4 separate regions of the Mus musculus genome follow, and all the other regions are reported to be linked to region 1. Evidence: microRNA targets listed by miRTarBase, many of them from high-throughput screens and not tested one by one. Region 1 holds a microRNA gene; each other region holds the end of a gene's coding sequence.

Region 1 (3,216 bases):
TGGAGAAAGGAAAGTGCCCTAGGGCTCTGTAAGTCCATGCCCTTGTCTTTTCTTTATTTTACTTTACTTTTTGAGGCAGAGGCTCATGTAAACCATGCTGGCCTTGAATTTCTGATCCGCCTGCCTTCATTTCTCAGGTGCTAGGACTAGAGGTAACACCACATTTAGATCATGTGCTGTTGTGTATTAAATCCAGAGCCGTGTGCATCAGCGCTTTGTGCTTGTTGAAGTCTGTGGAAGGTCTATCCCCAACTCTATCTGTAGCATGATGGTCCTTTACTAATGCTGGGTGCTAAGAACAATCAGAGGCATGAAGCTAGCTGCTAGTTCTAAGAAGTAGGGGCACCTATAAAAGCACAGTATCACCCCCATAGCAGGCCTGTGGCCAGCCAGCTAGGAAAGGCACCAAGTTCCCCATTAGAATACAGAGAGCAAAAGAACATCTGGACAAGTCTTGGGAGGCCTTGTGGACAAAGAAAATGATTTTGGGGCTGGGAGATGGTTCTGAGTCCCCAGCACCCACATAAGCAGCCAAGTGTGGGCATTGGTAATCCCAGTAGTGCAGTGGAGACAGGTGGAATTCTCTAGCTCAGTGCCAGCTAGCCTTGCAGTTTGTGAGTTCTAGGCCAGTGAGAGATGCTCTCTCAAAAGACAGAGTTGATGGCTCCCGAGGAACAATACATGAAGCTGACTCTGGCTTCCACATCTATGTTCCTTTATACTTACACAGACTGGCCCTCCTCCCCCAAAGAAATGATGTCTGCCATCAGATTTACTCAGGGTTAGATTTTAGTCTACAGTTGGAAAAAACACACAGGCAATTTATAGGACTGGGTTTTGGCCTCTGGCTTTCCCAAGAATTCTCAGTAGAAGGTAGACAGACAGACAGACAGACAGGCAGGCAGGCAGGCAGGCCGGCAGTAAATGCTCTCAGTCAATATGATCTTCCTTTTTCCTTCTCTTTAGGAGGTAATTATAACCCACCTGCTGGGCCCCAGGGGAACACACCCTTTGGAATTCTGAGAATAGAAGAATATCCAAGTCACAGGGCTTAGAAAGATTACTGAATCTATTTGTGGCAGGGGCGCCAGCCTCGCCTAGGGATGGCTGTGGAGATTTAGTCTCCTCTCAAGGAATGCTAAACATCACACATGGCAGATCAGTGAGGGTATATATTCAAGAACTCACTTAACTTTCCATGCCAGAGTCATTAATTTTTCAGACCACCTCTGGTTCCTGGAAGCAAGGGCTGGCCTGGAATTCTCTGGGATGTCAGTGTGTTCACAGCATTCACTCCATGCGTCACCAGGACGTGTGGAGCTAGAGTCTGCAGCCCTGAGGGAGCCCAGCACTGGGGCTTAACACCAACACTGTCCATCATGTGACTCTCAGGCTTGGTGGGCACTTATGCGGCCTCTATACACAGTCCCTTTCTCATTCATGACTTTTCATTATTATTTTAATCAGCATTAAAATATTTATGTTATGCTAGATTGCTAGAGCTATTTTGGGAACATAGTTCTTCCAAGCAGGAGTGGCAATAACAAGAAAAATGAAATTCTCAGAACATCCCAGGTACTTTTTTCCCCCTTTTAATTGCACTGTCTTCCCAGGAAACCTGAATCTCTCTCTGCCCTCCATGTCTTCAGGCTAGGGAAATGGATTGAGAGAAATGAGCACTATGCCCACAACATCCTTTATACAGAAGGACAATCTGAGCTTGATCCAGGTCAGGGATAAGGAGGAGAAGGAGCTATGCTCGCAGAACAGTCTAGGAGCTGCCAGCGCCAATTTGACTTTTCAGGAGCTAAGGTTGCATTCTGTACACATGCATGTGTGTGTGTGTGTGGAAAGGTGTTGATGATGGGTGTCTTCCACAATCTTTCTCCACCTTGCTGAGACAGTGTCTTTCATTTGGCCTGGAACTCACTCAGTAGGCTAGGCTGCCTGGCTAGGCCAGGAATCCACCAGTTTTACCTCCCCAGCTCCAGGGGTTAGGAACTCACAGGAGCTTTTTACATGGGTACTGGAGATGGAATGTGGATTCTCATGCTTGCCAAACACGTAACTGGCTGGGCCATCTCCCCAGGCCCCTCCAGGCCATCCCTATTTAAAGGCCAGGACCCAGTGTGTCTGCTTCTGATGAAAAAATAGCTTCCATCTTGCCATTCAGCAGGAATCCAGTAACATATGAAGAGAACACACATGCTATGAGCAAATAGTAACCAACTACGCCTTAAGACAAATTCTCAGCACGCCCCACTGTAAATGGAAGTTCTGGAACTCTTGTAATTATTCATTATAGCATCTATATTTAATTTAACAGTACTAAAGTTAATGTCAAAGTAGCAAAACTGGCCACAGAATAGAAAAGGAACTGAATGTTCAAATAGTTTGGTGCATTAGACTCAACTTTACGATGGTACATTGTATGACTAAAGGCCTACAGCATTGGAATATTGTTTTGGGATATGTAAAAGCCATTGGTAAAGTAGCTCTTAGGCTTAATTTTTATTATGTGTATTAAAGGAACGGCTAATTACCACATGATGGTATAATAGTCCTAGCATGTTTGAGCTGGAGACCAAAACAATGAACTTCAGCACGCCAAACCCGGACCTGCATGTTAAGCTGGGGAAATCATAGCTTTCTGTCTCGTTAACGATTTCCAATGCCATTTAAACTCCATACAAGCATTGTTAGGTATCAGGCTGTACGTCAGAAGCCTCTCAACTCAGCAGTTCAATTACAGAATTGTCTGAGGGAGGAGACAGAAAACACCCATAGACAGAATAGCATGCGGAGTTCTGTAAGCCACCTGCCCAGCCTCCAACCCAACATGCTTTGCCACTATCCACATCCACCCACCATGACAAACTCAAAAAACATTTTACGATCATCTGATAAGTTAATTCCTGAAGCAGGCTTGGAGGTAGTGTGCAGTTCGTTATGCAACTCAGGACCTTAAACAGCATAATTATATAACAAACAACCCTATCACCTGGATTTATTCAGCACATTTTGCTAAGCGAGGTAACATTAGCTCATTAATTCTAGTCATCCCTGCAGAAGCTGGGGGAAGGCATGCTGAGATGTGTCAGGCGCTGGCATCTCCCCCAGGGACAGGGATGGGAAGGAAAGCTGGCCAGGCCAACAGGTATGCAAAATGCTAATTATGAATGCTACTTCCTGAGACAGCAGCTACCTCAATTATAC
Region 2 (3,216 bases), not on the chromosome of region 1:
TGATTATAAGTTACTTTAAAACTTGTACAACACTAAAATAGCTCTGGAATGTAACTTAACTACAAGACAACTGGCTGTTTTCTTCAGAGATGTGTATTTTGTGGAAAACTTGTGAGGTACTGTGGGTGTCTGACATTTAAGTTCAAATGGATCAGACTTGTCCAGAAGACCCTTAAGTTTCACAGGAGCCAGAGACCCTCAGGAAAAGGTGCACTAGCCTTTAGAACAAGAACAAAAGAGTCACTTTACAAAGGACATGAGCGGTTTGATGCTATATTCCAGTGCTATATCTGAGTGTACGCACCGCTGATGTTGAGTGAAACTGCCCTGCTAAAAGAGAGCCCGCCAGGAACTTGTGTGCAATTGAACTATTCATGCAGAACTATAATGCTAGTAGTACCCTTGCGTTCTCATGTAGCACTTCCGAGGGAGGGAACACCAGTGTATAATTAGCCTAAGAAGTTATGTATAGCCTCTGATTATATTGGTTATATTTGCTGATTGTTACTGAAAAGCAGATAAGTGTTGCATTCTTCCTTCACCTTACCAAGTTAACTTTGTAAATTTTATCTTATTCCTACTAGATTGATCCAAATCCTGATCAGTCATCCGAGGACAGACCATCATGCCCCTCTCGCTGAAGCAACACTTGACTGAGTCAAGTTGACATGGGTTCTGAACTGTATCTCTTCCAGCTGAGGACAGAGAAGTATCTTGGAGACACGTTTGCAGAGGAAGTGGAATTGCCTTTGCCCAGACAGATGGCAAACACATGAAACAACCAGTGATCATGCTTTAGAATCCTACAGCATCATTTGGGGCTGTTCCAACATGCTTGAAGATCTGAGCTTTCCTTCTTTAAAACTGGCACATGTTAAGGGCAGTCTTCTTAGCCTGTGGTCATCCGTGTCAAGACACCATTGCAAAGAAGGATGTTGTCCTTCCTATTTGAAAATTTGCACATGCTCAATGCTTACATTGTGCAGTTCAGTGTCACTACAGCATTTTTTTTCCATTTATGCCAGACTCTTGATACTCTTACAACTTGTTTATGGTCAGCACAACATGGAACAAAAGAAAGCTTTGAAAAACTTTGACATTAAAAAAACAAAACAAAATGCACTGACAGGTTTTTTTTCTTAGTTTTTTGTTTTGTTTTGTTTTTTGGGTTTTTTGTTTGTTTGTTAAGTTAATGTAGCCTGGACTCTACCTGCATATGCACATGCTCAGAATTGTCCTACTAGGCTGACCATGTATCACCTCTTCAGCTTGGATCCTACTGTGGATTTATTTACAAACATCAAATGCCTTCAAGCCAATCCTTTTGCTGTATGTTTTGCAGCCTACTGTAGTAGATAAGCAACAGATACAAGGAGAAAAGAGACAAGAGGAGGAGGCTGACAAGAGACTTTGTATGGCTGTTGTTTGGTTTTCTGTGAGAGTGTTGCCTTTCTACTATTGATAGCAGAGCAGCCTTGTGTTACTGACTGCCTAACATCACTCAATCTCAGGTGAATGCATCACTTGCCAAACTGTTGGAATGCCGTCTATGTTTGTTGCACTGTTATGTTGTTGTTGTTGTTGTTAATTGTTGTTATTTGGTTGGATTTTTTGGAGAGGGATATTCGGAAATGGGACATACACAAAACTGATAACCCACCCACATTCCCCTTTTTATCATTACATATAAGAAGAAACAAAGCTCAGAGTGGAGAAAGACAGTAGGGCGGGCACCAGCAGAGGCAAGGGCTGTTGCTCTGGAAAAATATTTTTATTATTTTAAAAACGAGTGGAAGCTGCCCGGTCACTAGGGAAGGGAGGGAAAAGTGCATTTATTTTTATACAGAGTTACTTAATTACCTCCAAAACACATATGTTGGAAATCAGTTTTGCTGATGCAAGGTACTTCAATAAGCCAGAATATATCAAGGTCATGATGGGGGAAGCTTCATTTATACATTTGCTCAAGTTTGAGAGAATAAAATCCCAAATTTGTTTCCAAAGTGTGTAACTTTATAAGTAGAAAAACTAGAATGTTTGCTGGGATAAGTAGCTTTAGTTTGTACACGTGTATAATATTGTTTTTCAACAATTTTTCCTGTCATCTAAGAAACATTGATAGGTCTCTAGCTTTGAGTATATATAGGTAGAGCAACACATGAGTAAATTATTTTTAAAGATAATTTATGGTTGGATTGTAACCATATACTAACATTCATGAAACAACTAAAACCCCCACCTTCTCAAAGTACAAAATAGAGTGATTTTGTAAGAGTTGGCTTGTGTTCTTAGTGACACCAGCATCTCTGATGTTACAACATCATGTGTGAGATGGAGCTTGTCATCTGCCCACCTTGCCCTCTGCCCCACAGTTACAGTGCCTGAGAAGACTCGGAACGCTGGCCTGGTGCTTGACCTGGTTAAATACTGTCTTAAAGCTTCATACAAAATAGGCTTTTCCATAAGTGGCCTTTAAGAAAACATGGAAGATAATTCATGTTTGAAATAATGCTGACAGGGTGAAGAAAGCCCGTTGTAAAAATGAATCGCGTTTTAAGTGATTCAGTTAAAGGGTTTGTGCTCCCATAGCAAACTAATACTAGATAATAAGGAAATGGGGTGAATTATTTTTTTAATTGTTAAATCATTTTGTGAATGTCCCCCACCCCCAGAAGAAGCTGATGGGATATTTGGCATAAAGGGCATTTGGTGGTTTTGTTTTCGTTGGTAGGGATTGTCTGAAAACACCTGACTCTGTGTTATGTCTAACTAGGGAACAATTGTTGGTGTGCATGGCCTTGGGCACTCACTACCATGTTCGACAAAGTACTCTATTAGCAAGAATGACCAATATTCTGATTAATTGGCACTGGTGACAAAATTCTTTTACGATTTGGCAAAATAAGGTTTTACTTTTCCCATTAATTATTTCTTTACTCTTTAGAGGCATTATACTTCTAAATATTGGTCAATTCTTGACATAACACCTGAGGGCCACAGTCATGCTCTAGTATTCAAGATAGCTTCCTAATTTTTCATTTAGGAAAAGTCAAATCCAAAATGTTTGAGAAACAAAGTGCAATATTAAATGTTTGCTTTATAGATTATATTCTATGGCTGTTGTAATCTTTTATTTGGTGCTGAATATGTCCTTGTAGGCTCTGTTTTAAGAAAACCATGTGGGAAATGATTTAACTTTTCCTATTGCTCTTCCTT
Region 3 (3,000 bases), not on the chromosome of region 1:
TTTCCTATGGGGCTCAGCAGGTGTGCAGCTGAGTGAAGTTGAGGCCAGCTCTTTTTTTTTTTTTTTTTTTTTTTTTTTTGGTTTTTCAAGACAGGGTTTCTCTGTGTAGCCCTGGCTGTCCTGGAACTCACTCTGTAGACCAGGCTGGCCTCGAACTCAAAAATCGCCTGCCTCTGCCTCCCGAGTGCTGGGATTAAACGCCACCACGCCTGGCAAAGCCAGCTCTTATTAAAGGTCTTTTTTTCACAGCATCCCATTAGCTGCCGGCAAGTTTGACCGAGAATTGTACTTGATAGGAATTAAAAGGCGGATTTCAAAGGAGATTCAGAGACAGGAAGCACTGAAGAGCCAGAGCTCCAGTGCAGTTTGCACCGTGTCCTGAAGATTCCAGACCAGGACTGGCCACAGCAACGGGGGCCAAGGTCACTGCAAAGGATGGGCTTCTTCTCAGCTGCTCCTGTAATGCTGGGATTCTAATCCACCACGGCCAGGGGCTCCCTGCTCTCACCACAGACCCAGCCCTCAGGACATTTATACCATGTTCCCACAGGCACATGGCAGGGCATGTGGACACCAAGCAGCAGTTTTGTCCTCAGGAGTAGTCCAGACTTCTTGCCCTTGAGCACTGCTGTCTCTTCAAACTCCTTTTATTTATTCCTGTTCTCATGCTAGAGCCCAGGTTCTCCATCTGTATCCTCCTAGTAGCTCCTTCCCTCCAGGGAAGGATCAGGCAACCTCTGGTATCCTAGATGCTCAATGCCTAGAACCTGCCAGGACTTCAATTCTGGGATATTCCCTACAGACATTTTGACAGGCTTTGAGGTTCTACATCCTGGTCCCAGGCTCCCAACCCCCAGTTGAGTAGGGACCTCTCCACTCTACAGGCCAAGCCTAGCTATATTAAACTCATAGTTTTTAGGAGCTTCAGACCATTTGCTTTTGTGCTGCTAGTCCCGGAAAGGCATGAGAAATTGTTACCAGACAGCACCTTGCTGGGTTTCACTCCTTGAAGAAAGCTTAGGAGCATCATTGCTCTCAATCTTACCCCACCCCTTCAGACATAGCCTTGAATGTACAGACACCTAGGGGCATCCACTCTAGTCTTCTAAATCATTTATTTTTCCATATTTATATTTTTAAATAAATAAGGATATATTCAATTGTAAACTCTTTCTGGCCAAAGAGTGAACCTTGGAAGAAGTCTGCATGCATCTTGGGGCCTCAGGACACCCCAGGGTTTTAAAAGGACATAGAAGTCAAAGGCCAAACATTTGGTCTCAGCTGTCACCTGCTACTCAGTCCCATCCCAGGTCTTTCTGCTAGGTACTGTCCCTGCTCACAGCCAGAAGCAGCAATAGCTGGAAAAAGTGACGACTTGGGACTCCAGTGAACCATAATAAACCAACGAATAAGGTGAAACTCAACAGCATCAGCTTCTCCAATATGGAAAGTCACCTGCTTCAATAAACCACTGTGAACTGCAAATTCTACTGGGAAGACAGCCTTTTCTCTCCCAGACAGGCTGCCCTGGACTTCATAATCCTGCCTCAACTATTCCTGGCTTGAATAAGGTTTGATGTGGTAAGAGTTCCAGACAGGTTTCTCTGTAGCCCCGGCTGTCCTGGAACTCTCTGTAGACCAGGCTGGCCTCGAACTTGGAGAACCACCTGCTTCTGCCTCCTGAATGCTGGGATTAAAGGCGTGCACTACCACAGCCCAGCAGTTTGGTGCTTCTTTGTGGACATTCTCTGGCACCTTAGAAAAGACTGAGGTAATCCTGGAACTTCCCAGTTTGGCCCAAGATCAAGATCATAAAGTCTTAGGGGTCGGGGGGCAAAGTACAGCCATAGCAATTTACATTTAGATAGCCTTTACATTTAGAGGGCATTTCAGTTGGAAAAGTTAAACACGTAAACTAGTGCAGATGAAGTGGGAAATTAAAACTGGACTTGTAAATAATTGTGAGATACAACTGGCATGGTGACTCTTACTAGAAAGACCAGTAACTGAGGCAAAGACAAGCTCACTGTGAGGCCAGCCAGGGCTAATTAGTATTTTATCTCAAAAAACAAAGGAGAAGATTGTGAAATACCTTTAGGCTTGTTAAAGAACTTAAGCTTTAGAAATGAGGCCAGGTGTGGTAGCACTTGCCTATAATTTTAGCACCTGGGAGGCAGAGGCAGGAGGGTCTCTGAGTTTGAGATGAGTATATCTTATATCAAGTCTCAAGCCACTCAGGGTTTTACTGTGAGATCCTATTTGAAGGGGAAAAAAATGAGTACAATTTATGCCAGTGGTTCTACCAATGGGTAGGCCCTGTGTGCTTTCAGAGTGTGGCGCTTTGTCTCCCTAGAGTCCCAAGACTTTCTAATCTTTCCCAGCCTTCCTTGCTCCAGAAACATCTAGTGGCCAGACAGCACCTGCTTTGGCAGATACTCAGGAAAAATACTTGTTAGATGAAAAATAAGCCACTTGTGTTTGAAAGACACAAAAGTGCAGTGGCAACAGTAACTTTCATTCAAGTTTCCAGAGTTTCACTGTTGGCACTGTTCACACAGCTAGCTAGCCTTATGCAGTGTCTACACCAACAGTAACATGCACACAAGCACTCTACAGCCAGCTCTAAGGGACTCTACCGGAACAGCCGGTATGATCTGGGCAGGTGTCCATTTCTGCTGGACAGCGCTGCCTGGATGTGCTCATAGGTGGGTAGGTCAGTCAAATCACCCAGGGCAGCCACAGCAGGCTTGCCACGGAGCATCTTGGAAGCAACCCTCTTGATATCTTCTGGCTTCACGTTGCCTACAACAGAGAGTAAAAGACAGTGAGGGCAAGAGTGGAGTTTCCAACTCCATCTCAAACTGTGTGCACTCAAACAGTGACCAGATGCCTCCTTCCCAAGGCTGAGGAGCCTATTAGTACAGGATGGAGCTTGCAAAGGACTTTGGGGAAGCCGGGGATTGTGGTATGGCAGACAACAGGAGATCCGTCTGTCTGTTT
Region 4 (3,216 bases), not on the chromosome of region 1:
CTTTACTGAGGTGAATTATGCCCCCCATGCCCCCCGCCGATCTGAAAGGATGTGCTGAGAGATAATTCATGCCTTTCCAAGTTAAGGGACTTTCGTAGTAAATAGTGCGCTTTCAGAGGTGGATTTACCAGCAGATAAACCTGTAAAAATTCTACTGTCAAGTCAAAGATGAATTTCAGAGAATGTGTAAACTTTGATAGAGGTAAACATAATATTTTATTTGATCGATGAGAAACTCCACTCCAATGCTTCCGAGCAAACTTCCTCGCCTATTTGTAACTTTGTGTTATGTGTTGGAATTTACGATAATTCTTTGAATGTACTAAGCCTTTTCCATTACTACGCACATGCAATCTAACTCACTGCAATCCTGCCTGTTTTTTCTAATTGCTGCATCATGGTGTATGTGCGCAGGCACTTGAGCAACTAGGTCCTATTGCCTTTGCTGACTTACTTATTCCCTCTCTTTGAAGGTGAAAGTGTGGTTCCAGAACAGGAGAATGAAGTGGAAGCGGGTCAAAGGGGGACAGCAAGGAGCTGCTGCCCGAGAAAAGGAACTGGTGAATGTGAAAAAGGGAACGCTTCTTCCGTCAGAGCTGTCAGGAATCGGTGCAGCCACCCTCCAGCAGACAGGGGACTCACTAGCAAACGAGGACAGCCGCGATAGTGACCACAGCTCTGAGCACGCACACTTATGATACCTACAAAGACCAGCTCCATTCTCAGGAAAGCACCATTGTGATGGCAAACCTTACCGAACATCGTTTACATGGCAGATGTCTGTGGCAGTGTGGCTTAGTATAATTAAATGCAGGCATCTCGAGTCTGTGTCTCATGATGGATAGACGGTTTACACTAAGTGCCTTTTATTGAAGATGCTTCCACAGTGAAATTGGAGAAAGCGAACGTATTCCAAATACACTTGTTCCTATATATGACAGAGAGGGAGATGGATGTTTGCTTTGGCTTGCACTGAAAATTAAATTTGCTACCAAGAGCAAACTTGATAAGACGTTTTTACTCAAGATGTCTCCAGAGTGAAGATGTTAAAAATAAAAAATGCTTTGAACATTCCAGTTGTGCCAGGTCATGTGTGTGACACTAGGCAGGTATTTGCTTTTGCTTGCACTGAAAATTAAACTGCTATCAAGTTAATCCATGAAATAGTTTATCTTGAACAGCCACAGTGCCTGAAATCACCAAGTGGATATAAAATGTACTGAAACTCTGTATATATTACCCCTAAGTCATTTTTCCTGTCTTCACTAATTTTAGCAAATGCATTCATATTAGCTGATTAAAAATAGGCTTTTCCATTGACAAACACAGCCAGCTTCTTGTATTTTTATACATTTGTGTCAGACAGAGAAAATCAGTATGTGCTTACTTGTGTTCAAGTAGATAAAATGCAGTAGAGTCTGATAGGACATATCCTTGTACCACAGACAAAGCAAATCTTCTGTTGCATTGACTATCAACTGCTGCAGATACATTAGAGAACATACCTAGCTCCCCTCCAGCCTTCTTCTCTTATATCTTGAAAGACATTAGGATCATAGGCAAATCAGTTACCTTGCAGAACGAGTCTTGTGCGGCAAATGTCTGATTTTACATCTTTAAGTTGTTAATGTTTATGGGTCTGATTCAATTAACAGGGAAAAGCTTTCTTCCTCCTTGTTTATGATATAAAACCAAGTGCCAAACAAAGCTAATTCTTCAAGAGAATAGTTGAGAAACTGAATGTCTGACAATTAGACTCTGAAAGTGCATTATTTTTCATATGCTCTATATTCATGCAGAACAAGTTCTTGTATTTTGTAAAAAAAAAAAGATAAATAAATGATCCTTGAAATAATTATTGTCTCGCCACTGTGACTTCATTGGGTTTGGTAGATTTATTCTTTTATTTGGGATCAAGGCTGGTCTAGATGTCATTAGGTGACTCAGCTTGGCACTGACCTCTCAGCAATCTCTTGTCTCAGTCATCCAGGTGCCAGAATCATAGACTGGATCAACCATGTCTAGTTAATTTTAGTAGATTTGAAAAAAATAGATGCTTAAAAAGATTCCAAATTGTTTGCTTCTGTGTAAATCTAAATGGATATGAGTTATGAAATAAGATTCATAATTTCTGGTTTTTATTATGGCATAAAATTTGTAAGAATAGGCATATATATACTGAGCAATGTTAGGTAAATGAAATGGAAACATATTACAGGAGCTATAGGTAATGCATGGGCATTAGCCCAACACTTTTAGTTTATACTTATCTAACTTTTCAGTACTTAGTGAGAAACCCAAAAACTCACTCGCGGTAGATATATGCCCTACCATTGAACTCCCTGACCAGTCTGCAAATAGATGCTTCACGTTCATGATCTCTAGCTTTGGTGTGAAATATGAGATGAACAAACGTAAAAAGAACCCCACTTCTAACAGACATTGTTGATAGAAGAAAAATAAGGTGTCTCATTGCACAGCCAGTGTCACATCTAAGAGGGTGTCAGGACCTTGGATGACAAACCCCTGTTATTATCACTTTATCACCTTGCTTTTGGTTCATTATTCATTTGACTCAGAAGGAGTCAGGAATATTACCAGTCCTCACTTATATTAAAAGAGTAAAAATTCGACCAAATAAACAATATGTGATTGATGAATTTTCTTTAGAATGATTAAACTAGTAAAACACGTTTAATTTAATTTATCCTAATGTGATACCAATAGTATTCAGGGAAAAAGTCACTTTTTTTTTCATCTGTGCAATAATTTTCATCTCACTATAGAACAATATTTCTGAATTAATATGGACAAATATATCATTTTCATTGTCATAAACATATTTTCTTATCAATCACTTGAATGAATATAAAGTATATTTGTGTTGCTAATATATACTTTGGTGGGTTGACATTTTTTATTTTACAATTGAGTTCAAAATGAAATATCTTGAGAAATTGGGTAAAAGAAAGATACAAATCAAATTGAATTCAATTGGAAAAGGGTATGAAATAATTCATTTAGGCATGAAAATAATGAGAAATTGAAAGTTAGACGTAACCAAAGAGAGCAATAAGGTTTGTTGTGAAACTAAAACACTTATAAATCAGACTTAGAGCTTATTATGACCAATACAATCATTATAATGGTAATTATTCTACATACACAAGATATTCACAAATGAAATGAGGCAAGAGTAGGATGGAATATACTTCC

Evidence for each region. The annotated mature microRNA mmu-miR-721 reads CAGUGCAAUUAAAAGGGGGAA and lies in region 1 at 1,584-1,604, opposite strand. An mRNA with a match to its seed (bases 2 to 7 or 8) in the 3' UTR can be bound and repressed. Matches are read on the target gene's strand: a 7mer-m8 pairs with bases 2 to 8, a 7mer-A1 pairs with bases 2 to 7 and ends in A, and an 8mer does both.
Region 2: the mRNA of Arrdc3 is a reported target of mmu-miR-721. Seed matches in the 3' UTR shown: 7mer-m8 at 1,557-1,563.
Region 3: miRTarBase lists Inpp5e as a target of mmu-miR-721. Seed matches in the 3' UTR shown: 7mer-A1 at 1,703-1,709.
Region 4: miRTarBase lists Meox2 as a target of mmu-miR-721. Seed matches in the 3' UTR shown: 7mer-m8 at 968-974 and 7mer-m8 at 1,124-1,130.

The regions. Positions count from the first base shown.
Region 1 is chr5:136,374,194-136,377,409 of GRCm38, forward strand. Mir721 (microRNA 721) reads right to left here and starts at 1,610; the gene lies at 1,523-1,610. The region is part of intron 4 of Cux1 (cut-like homeobox 1); the gene reads right to left.
Region 2 is chr13:80,892,786-80,896,001 of GRCm38, forward strand. It overlaps Arrdc3 (arrestin domain containing 3), which reads left to right. Exons shown (of 8, transcript NM_001042591.1): 8 at 585-3,216. The coding sequence ends at 641. Among named protein-coding and RNA genes, the nearest start is that of Arrdc3, 11 kb to the left of the region's middle.
Region 3 is chr2:26,395,221-26,398,220 of GRCm38, reverse strand. Inpp5e (inositol polyphosphate-5-phosphatase E) reads left to right here. Exons shown (of 10, transcript NM_033134.3): 10 at 250-1,972. The coding sequence ends at 382. It overlaps Pmpca (peptidase (mitochondrial processing) alpha), which reads right to left. Exons shown (of 13, transcript NM_173180.3): 13 at 1,100-2,802. The coding sequence ends at 2,633. Among named protein-coding and RNA genes, the nearest start is that of Pmpca, 7.4 kb to the right of the region's middle.
Region 4 is chr12:37,177,680-37,180,895 of GRCm38, forward strand. Meox2 (mesenchyme homeobox 2) reads left to right here. Exons shown (of 3, transcript NM_008584.4): 3 at 474-1,855. The coding sequence ends at 698. Among named protein-coding and RNA genes, the nearest start is that of Agmo, 62 kb to the right of the region's middle.